Callithrix jacchus: one gene and its partner. The protein of the gene in region 1 interacts with the protein of each later gene in a biochemical or structural test. Links are inferred from orthologs where the notes say so. Each region holds a gene or a part of one and is shown on either strand. Other genes may lie near its edges. The genes, in order: SELP and CD24.

Region 1 (3,810 bases):
GTGCAAAGTACTCAACAAATATTTGTTGAACGGATGGAGAAATGAACGCTGTCACCAGCCTTGCTACAGTGTTCATCCAGCGTAGAACTTAGGAGCAGGGCAATGAGAAGCAAGAAGGAAGCAGAGGGCTTGAACTGCCCGTCCAATGAAAATTGGCACAGTTGTACTTCAGCCAAATGATTATTAACGAGAATTATTTTTGGCCACGTTGGTGGCATATGGATGCTAAAAGAATGTATTCTCTTCTTGTTTCAGGCCAGCTGCCAAAAAGCCATCTTGTACCAGAGATCCCTGAGAGTGGTCTTTGGAATTGCGCAGCTCCTTTGCTTCAGTGCCCTGATCTCTGGTAAACTTAATGCTAAGTTTTCACTTAGCCCTAAGGAATTAGGGTACAGCCCAGAGCTATGTGCAAGGACTTTAAGGACTGTAGCCAGCTGGTTTGAGGCATGGGAAAACTGTCCAAGTCCAGATTATTGGAAGAAAAATGTACCTAACACTGTAATATTGATAGAAAGTGCATAGGAAAGAACTTAAAATGATACATCTGGGACCAATTTATCCATTAGGCACAGTAAATACGACCCACAAAATTTTTAGGGACCCACAAACATGTCTGAATTTCTTTTATAATTATTTTCTTTGAAGTCAAAAAAATACTTTAATATATAGTGATACATTCATCTTCTTACCAGTGCAGTTGCAAAATAGAATTTTGAATATGTTAGCATGGAGGAAAAAGCCTACATAGGCAAAGTTGCCTAAAGTCTATGAATCATAATGCAGCCCTGGCTGTATCAGAATAAAGTCTTTAAGGCAAAACAATGCCCTGGAAATCTCAGCAAGGGACGTACAAGTGTGACTAATCCTCATGCAGGCAGCGGAGGAGAGAGTTGAGTAGAAACAAGCCTTTAAATAAACAGGAAAGAAGCCCATTTCCAGGCCTGATTGCTTGCTTTGTACACCTCTTCATGTGGGAACTGGCCCTCCTGCCCCGGGTGAACTCCCACAGGCTATGATAGCAGTACGTAGTACCTTTATACTTTTGAAGGACACATTCTTTATTTCATTTGGTATCGTAAACACTTGTAGAGAAGGGCTGTTCTGAGCCCTCGCTTAATAAGTGAGTATGCAGACACGGAGAAAGCAGAGGTTAATGAAAGAGAAATAGCCAAGAGAAATGGAATGAGTGTAAGATTGCAGATCAGCGTATCTGATTTCCCACCTTGGCTCTGCCATAAACCTGCTGTGTTTCACTCATTCCACAAGCATTAATTGAAGGTCTATTAAGTGCTAAACTCTAGGCTCTGTGCTAAAGATCCAAAGCTAAAAAGAAAACACCATCAGAGATTTACAACCTGGCAGAAGTAGACTGTATCAAAGAAACACATTACCATACATGATAATGAGGGCAATGCAGACAGGGAAGAGGTGCTGCCTGGAGGAAGGAACACAGGGTCCACCTGGGAAAGCCATGGAGAATAGGGGGAGTAAAGTCTACCAGACATAAGAGGAGAGGACAGCCAGGACAGTGGGAAGGGCATGTGCAAATTCAAGGACAGAGGAATTCTGTTTTGAAATATGGTGGGCGATGAGGCTGAACCAACTGTTAGGCTCCAGATCATAAAGCATATTATTTTCCATGTGAAGAGGTAGAGCCTGCCCTTAAGACATTTTTATGTCATTTAATCTGAGCTTGGGCAAATGACTTAAAATGTCTCCTTCTTTTATTTAAAAAACAAAAAGAGGAGTGAATTAGATGACTTCCAGGGTACCTCCCAACTCTCATGTCTTATGATTCCAAATCTTTAACATCAAGGATACTTACAAGATGATATTTTCCTGCGACTTCATGTACACTTTTAACTGAAAGGTGGAAACCACCCCTTTTCCTTCAAACAGCTACATTAGATATAAACTAGTCGAGTTTTGGTATTCATCTTCTGGTCAGAAACTCACCTGACTATGCAGAAGCATGCTTGGGATCACCTCCTTTTGGTAAAGGTTGCTAACCCGGCACTCCCTCTCCTTTACTCTAGAACTAACAAACCAGAAAGAAGTGGCAGCGTGGACCTATCATTACAGCACAAAAGCATACTCATGGAATATTTCCCGTAAATATTGCCAGAATCGCTACACAGACTTAGTGGCCATTCAGAATAAAAATGAAATTGCTTACCTCAATGAGGTCCTACCGTATTACAGCTCCTATTACTGGATTGGGATCCGAAAGAGCAATAAGACATGGACCTGGGTGGGAACCAAAAAGGCTCTCACTGACGAGGCTGAGAACTGGGCTGTTAATGAGCCTAACAACAAAAGGAACAACGAGGACTGCGTGGAGATCTACATCAAGAGTCCGTCAGCCCCTGGCAAGTGGAATGATGAGCATTGCTTGAAGAAAAAGCGCGCATTATGTTATACGGGTAGGGCCTTCTCTACTTTGAAACATTTCTGTTTAAAAATGAAAAACAGAACCTTCTCTGGTTACTTTAGCCAACCTTCTCTGGTTGGCCAATGTAACCACCGAGTCAACACAAAGGTACAAATGCAGGACCTGAAATCAAGGGGTAAACTGTTAGTCAATCAGCATTACTGAGCACCTTGAAGAATGTAAGATCAGAATTAGAGAAAACTGGCTACTTAAAACTAGGGGGAAATTTTAATATCATCCAGCTCACCTGTCTCATCTTATAACTGATGAAAAGGACACGCACAAGGTTTCAGTTTCTCAAGGCCGTGGAGGAGGACAGAAGCAAAGTGAGGACCAGAAACCTGTCTCCCAAATTTTAGGTCTAGAGCTTTGTTCACCCCTGTGCTTTGTATAACAGAGAGTATAAATTGGAAGAAAATTTAGCCCGGCCCCTCGGTGACACAGCTGCGACTAATACCTACTGAATGTCAATATGCTCTAGGCATTGTGTTAGTTCATGTGCCACTTGTTCATTTAATATTAGTCACCTTCAGTCCTCATGACAACTCCAGCAATCAAGTTTTTCTATTACTCTTATTTTGCTGATGAGGGAAAGGCTCAGAGCTATTAAGTCATCTGCCCAGGGTTCTAAGCTAGTTGATGGTGGAGCCAGTTTCAAATTCATGTTGATTCCAAAGTTTGTTTTTTAGACATACAAACTACCACATTCTTTGCTCTACATTTTTATAGACAATTTGAGATTATAACTAAGGATTGTAAATGCTTTAGTTTCTCTTCAACAACAATATATCTTTAGATCCACTGAACTTTGGTGGGAGAGTGGTGGTAGGGGCTGGGCAGGAAATGGGAAGAAGTAATTGAAGGTGAAATACTTTGAGTGTATTTTAATTCTCAACTTTCCCAGTTCCAGAGTAAGTAGACATTCACGAAAGCTTGGTCTTCCTCTAGTCATGACCCTAGTGTCAGAGCTGATTCCTTCTTTCTGATGTTGCTTCCCTGTCTGGAGGGGCCTGTCCTGTCCTTCACAGCACATGAACACTGTGCCTAAGGATGGTATGGACTGCCCTGAGCAGGAAGCTTCTAAGTACTCTGAAGCTTCTTTGGTAAATCATCTGCCATACATTTTCTGAATTCTTTAGATTTTAAACACCTCTCCCTCAGAAGCAGCCCTCAACAGTACATGGATGGTACTGAATACATAGCGTAGAGTAAGCCTACATTTTCCCTCTACTCCCCAAGCCTCCTAGCTGAGGGAAAACATATCCATGCATGCATTGTCATATAATCAGATCTATTTTATAAATAATGCATTTATAAATAAATAAATAAATAACCATATATTCCTGGACCAGGATGGACATTATCGGGATATTAGATTA
Region 2 (4,357 bases), on another chromosome or scaffold:
ACTCAAAATACTCCACCAGTAAAATTCCTTCAGCTTTTGCCGTATGCTTTAAAGTTTTCAAAACAGGATGGATAGGACAAAAGTATTCCACCAAAATCTAAAGAGTAATGACGAATCTCCTCTTTGTGCCAGTTCATTAAATTGCCACGTGGCAACTACGGATAAGTAAACGGCTTTATCCCGAACGGCTCTGCTCTTTAAACGAATGACTGGCAGCAGAGACCGAAAAAGTGTGTCCCCAGGAATTCGGAAGGGAAGGTGAAGTGTAGCGGGTCCGCCATGAAGGGAGGTTCCCGCCCCCTGAGTAGGACAGGGCGGGGAAGAGGAGTAGGAGCCGCGCGGGGAGGGCGGTGGGGCCTTCAGGGCCGGAGAGAGGGGGGTCCCTTCAGGGTGGGCGGTTTCCTCCTCTCCCGCCGCAGGCAGGAGCGCGGGGGACCCAAACCCCACAGTTTGCAGCGTCAGGCAGCGGGTCTCCAGCTCCTGGGAGGATGAGGACCCGGGACGCCCACTTGAGCTCACAGCGCCTGGCGGACACGAGGCGCTCACAAAACAAAGCAGGGGCTTCGGGGAGGGCGCGGCTGCTGGGCCGAGCGCGCAGATCGCCCAGGACCCGGGCGCCGCCTGCGAGCCCCGCGACCCTCCCGGAAGGGCTCGCGCTAGGCGGCGCCCGGGTCCCGTCGGCCAGGGTGAGCGTCCGGCCCGCGTCCCAGCCACGACCGCCGCGTTCCCCTTTCCTCTGCGGCGGGCAGAGAGATAACCCCGCCCGAGGGGCCCCGGCGCCCGCCCCCCAACGCGGCCGCACTGGAATTCGCGGCCCCTCTCGGGTCCCGGGGCGCATTTTGCAGTCTGGGTGGCAGCGCACTTGCTCCGGGACCAGCGGCTGCCCCGCCGCGGCGGAGGCGCGGACTTTTCTTTTGGGGCGTAAGATGGCAGGTCCCGGGAAACAAAGGAAACTTGGGCCCGGCCCCCGGCGCGGCGTGTGTGGCTCGCGTGTGCGCCCCTGGTGCTGTGTGGGAGTCGCTGGCGCCTGTGCCAGGCTGCCTGCAGCCCGCAGCCGGCGGGGGAAACCAGCCGGGTACCAGCAGCCGGCTGCTCCCGCCCACCTGCAGCGGTGGCCGTCCGGGGGGCTCCCGGTCCGCGAGGGCCCCTGCGGAGGTGGCGGCTGCGGGGGAGGGGGCGCTGGGGAGCCTGGAGCGGGGCGGGTAAGGCGGGGAGGCGGCGGGCGGCGGCGCAGGGGAGCCGGGGTGGGCGGGCGGCGCCACGTCACGGCTATTGTGGCTGTCCTGGTATATAAGGTCCCGTCGGCTCGCCGCGCTCCCCACCTTGCCTGCGCCCGCCGGGAGCCAGCGGTTCTCCAAGCACCCAACATCCAGCGAGACGCGCCGCGCACCGACGGAGGGGACATGGGCAGAGCAATGGTGGCCAGGCTCGGGCTGGGGCTGCTGCTGCTGGCACTGCTCCTACCCACGCAGGTGAGGCCCTGGCGCCCGGCGGGGCTCGAGGGCTGTGTCCAGGGTGGGGGCGGGGGTATGGACCCGGTCCCTGGGGACCGTCCTGCGCCCCTACCTCGGGCCACGGACAGGGAGCGGGAGAGAATCTTGGTTAGCTGACCGGGGAGAGGGCCATGTGGACCCCACTTTCCATTCCCTTGCATGCTATCCCCCCTCCCCTCCCACGGCCCTGGGAACAATGCAGCTCCGCGCGCGGGCTGGGAGGACCCTGCCCCACCCAGGCTCCACGCTGTCCCTTCCCAGGCAGCCAGGTGCCTACTGCCCACTTTCACCCAGGGGCCCGAGGTGCCTGCAGGGTAGAGCGCCTTGAGAGCTCAGGCTCCGGTGAGACGTCGTCGCGGGTCCCCTGAGCACCGGCTTTCCCCTAGGAGTGTCTTCGCGCTCCCAGTGCTCTACACAAAGAGAGGCGACAGTCCGCTTCGGGAAGCGCGGCTCACGCCCATCCTCCACCCTCGGAGCTGGCTTGGGGATCCCGGGGAAGCTCTGGTTATCCGGTCCTATCATAAGCCCCAGTCCCGGGAGGTTTGGGGCTGAAGTCGAGGCGGGGACCCTCTCCTGACGTTGCGCTCTCTGCGGTACAACCTTTCACGTCCAACGCTTGTCATCTTAGGAGCCCCAGGTTATTTTAGCCCAGTTTGGCTAGTTCTGGGGAGGCAGCATGGTGGGACGATTCTGTCCCGAATCCCCGCCAGGCTTTGTCTGGGTCGTCGCTTCCAGCGCTGTCTCCCCAGACCCTCTATCCGGGGAACCTCGCCCCGGGTGCGGGTACCGGGGGCCGCGCAGCGCTGCCTCGAGGGTGGACGCGGGCGAGAGAGACCGGGGACTGGGAGACCCCGGTGGGGGCGGGGCCGGGGGCGGGGGCGAAGAAAGTACGTTTCTTTGGGGCAGTTCGGGTTTGGAGCATGGCATTGACCGCTCTCCAGCGCCTTCGGTTGGGGTAAATCGAGGACTGTCCCTGGGGCTTCTCCCCCAAAAGTTGGGCGCGCTGGGTCCGCCGTCCCCAGGCATCCAAAGTCTGGGCTTACCTGGGAGTGCAGCCTGAGAGTGTGGAGCGCTCTTCCTTACCGCGGGCCGAGTTAACGTACCCTATTGTCTTCCTCCCAGTCCGCTGCGCTCCCGAGCCTTGCTCAATTCTTTGGTGGGGGAGGGGCGCGGCCGGGAGAAACCGGCTCCCTCCACTCCCCTCCCCATCTCCTCTCGGACCAGATTTTTTTTCCTCCAACATTTTAAGTGAGAAGTTTTAATAACGCGAATAAATCTGGCTTGGAAGAGAAAATTTTGTTTAGTGTCGATTTAATAAACAAAAATTATTTGTTGTTGGTGTAGAGGATCTTTAGATTATCGGATCAATACACTGGGTTTTAAAAAGAAAACATCACCTGCTGCACTAAAACTCATTGTGTGAATAAAGAACAGGTTACTTTCAGGGATTCCCAAATCAGGTCTCCAATACAGGCACCCTGTCTTAAGTAAATACCACATCCATGCTTTCCTTTATTGGGAGTGCTGTTTCCTGATGGGACACACTCAATCTTGCACACAGTAGGTGCCCAATAAATAAATTTGACTTGATCAAGATTTTTTGTTGTTGTCACTAATCTATTTTGGATAGGATTTGTATATTTCTTTAGTCAATATTTGTTTAATGACCTTATGGGTTTTACAACAAAAGGAGCTGGTGCTGATGTAGGAGGGCTTTATCTTTGGATTAATAGGCAGCCAAATGTACATGGGGCCCAGACTCTTGCCTGGTGCCACGTCCTCCCTCCCGCCTGTAATCAGAAGCCCTTGTAAACCCTCCCTTGCAGTGAGGGCTGAAAACTCCGATCTGCCTTTGTTCCATGACAAAGGAGAGATTATCACGTGCCCTACTGGACTGTGCATTTCGTGGCTTGAAAAATCAGTGGTGAATGATGCCACTCAGACGCTGGGACACTGGGGGAACCTTGATTCTTGGCCACAGCACTGAGCTTAGTGACCAGTGAGGCTGCTGTTTGTGAAACTTAACACCATACCCTCTCGTCCTCTTTTGTGAAATCGTCCCGACTTCATGGTGTTTTCCTGAAGTCATTCTGCCTTAAAGGAAAAATTCATTTTCAATTTAGCACAAATACTGTGGCCATTTTTTAGAAGAGTTATTATTTCAGATTTTAAGGGAGTAGATAAGAGTCCAATTCCCCCTTAAGGAAAAGGCAAAGTTGCCAAGGCTGTATTAAATGGATATGGGTAAGTTACCTAGCAAATCCAGGATAGACAGTGACCCAGTTAATTCTAGTTCCGTAAATCTCCGTTACAGTATTTAAAATCCGTACTTTTTTGTACAACTTTAAAATCTCTCCTTTTCTGGGAAAATAGACATTATTGCAATGCCATTAAGTCGGTATAATCTCAGAAACTGAATTAGTTAACTTGGTCCTTTTTTCCTTTGCAAAGAAATAAAAACAGGAGTTAAAGTTATTGAATAACTTTTTTTTGTTCTTGTTGCCACTGGGCATTTGAGGCATCCTAGCTTGTTTTGAAACTAGGTGAATGACCTAGGTGGGCTGAGCAAGAATTCAGAATTTAATGATGTGGGTAAGAGACTAATGGTAAGAGAACAGTCTAAGAATGTATCACCTACTTTAATTTTATATTAGAGCATGTGGAGGTAGCTGTGATGTGGAAATTTATCCTTGTTACTTTTTATATATTTTAGATTTATTCCAATCAAACAGCTGTTGTAACAGTTTCAAGTAACTCCTCCCAGAGTACTTCGGCTGCCCCAAGTCCAGCTAATGCCACCACCAAGGCGGCTGGTGGCGCCCTGCAGTCAACAGCCAGTCTCTTCGTGGTCTCACTCTCTCTTC

What was found.
Region 2: the proteins of SELP (region 1) and CD24 form a complex in vitro, tested with the Homo sapiens proteins (2 studies listed by BioGRID and IntAct). The link is inferred for Callithrix jacchus from reciprocal best matches to the Homo sapiens genes SELP and CD24.

What each region holds. Positions count from the first base shown.
Region 1 is NC_133519.1:32,863,336-32,867,145, forward strand, and holds part of SELP (P-selectin), read left to right. Parts: intron 1-255; coding exon 256-346; intron 347-2,036; coding exon 2,037-2,423; intron 2,424-3,810. UniProt on the Homo sapiens protein: Ca(2+)-dependent receptor for myeloid cells that binds to carbohydrates on neutrophils and monocytes. Mediates the interaction of activated endothelial cells or platelets with leukocytes. The ligand recognized is sialyl-Lewis X.
Region 2 is NC_133505.1:113,102,168-113,106,524, reverse strand, and holds the start of CD24 (signal transducer CD24), read left to right. Parts: upstream 1-1,320; 5' UTR 1,321-1,403; coding exon 1,404-1,472; intron 1,473-2,536; exon of another isoform or gene 2,537-2,618; intron 2,619-4,206; coding exon 4,207-4,357.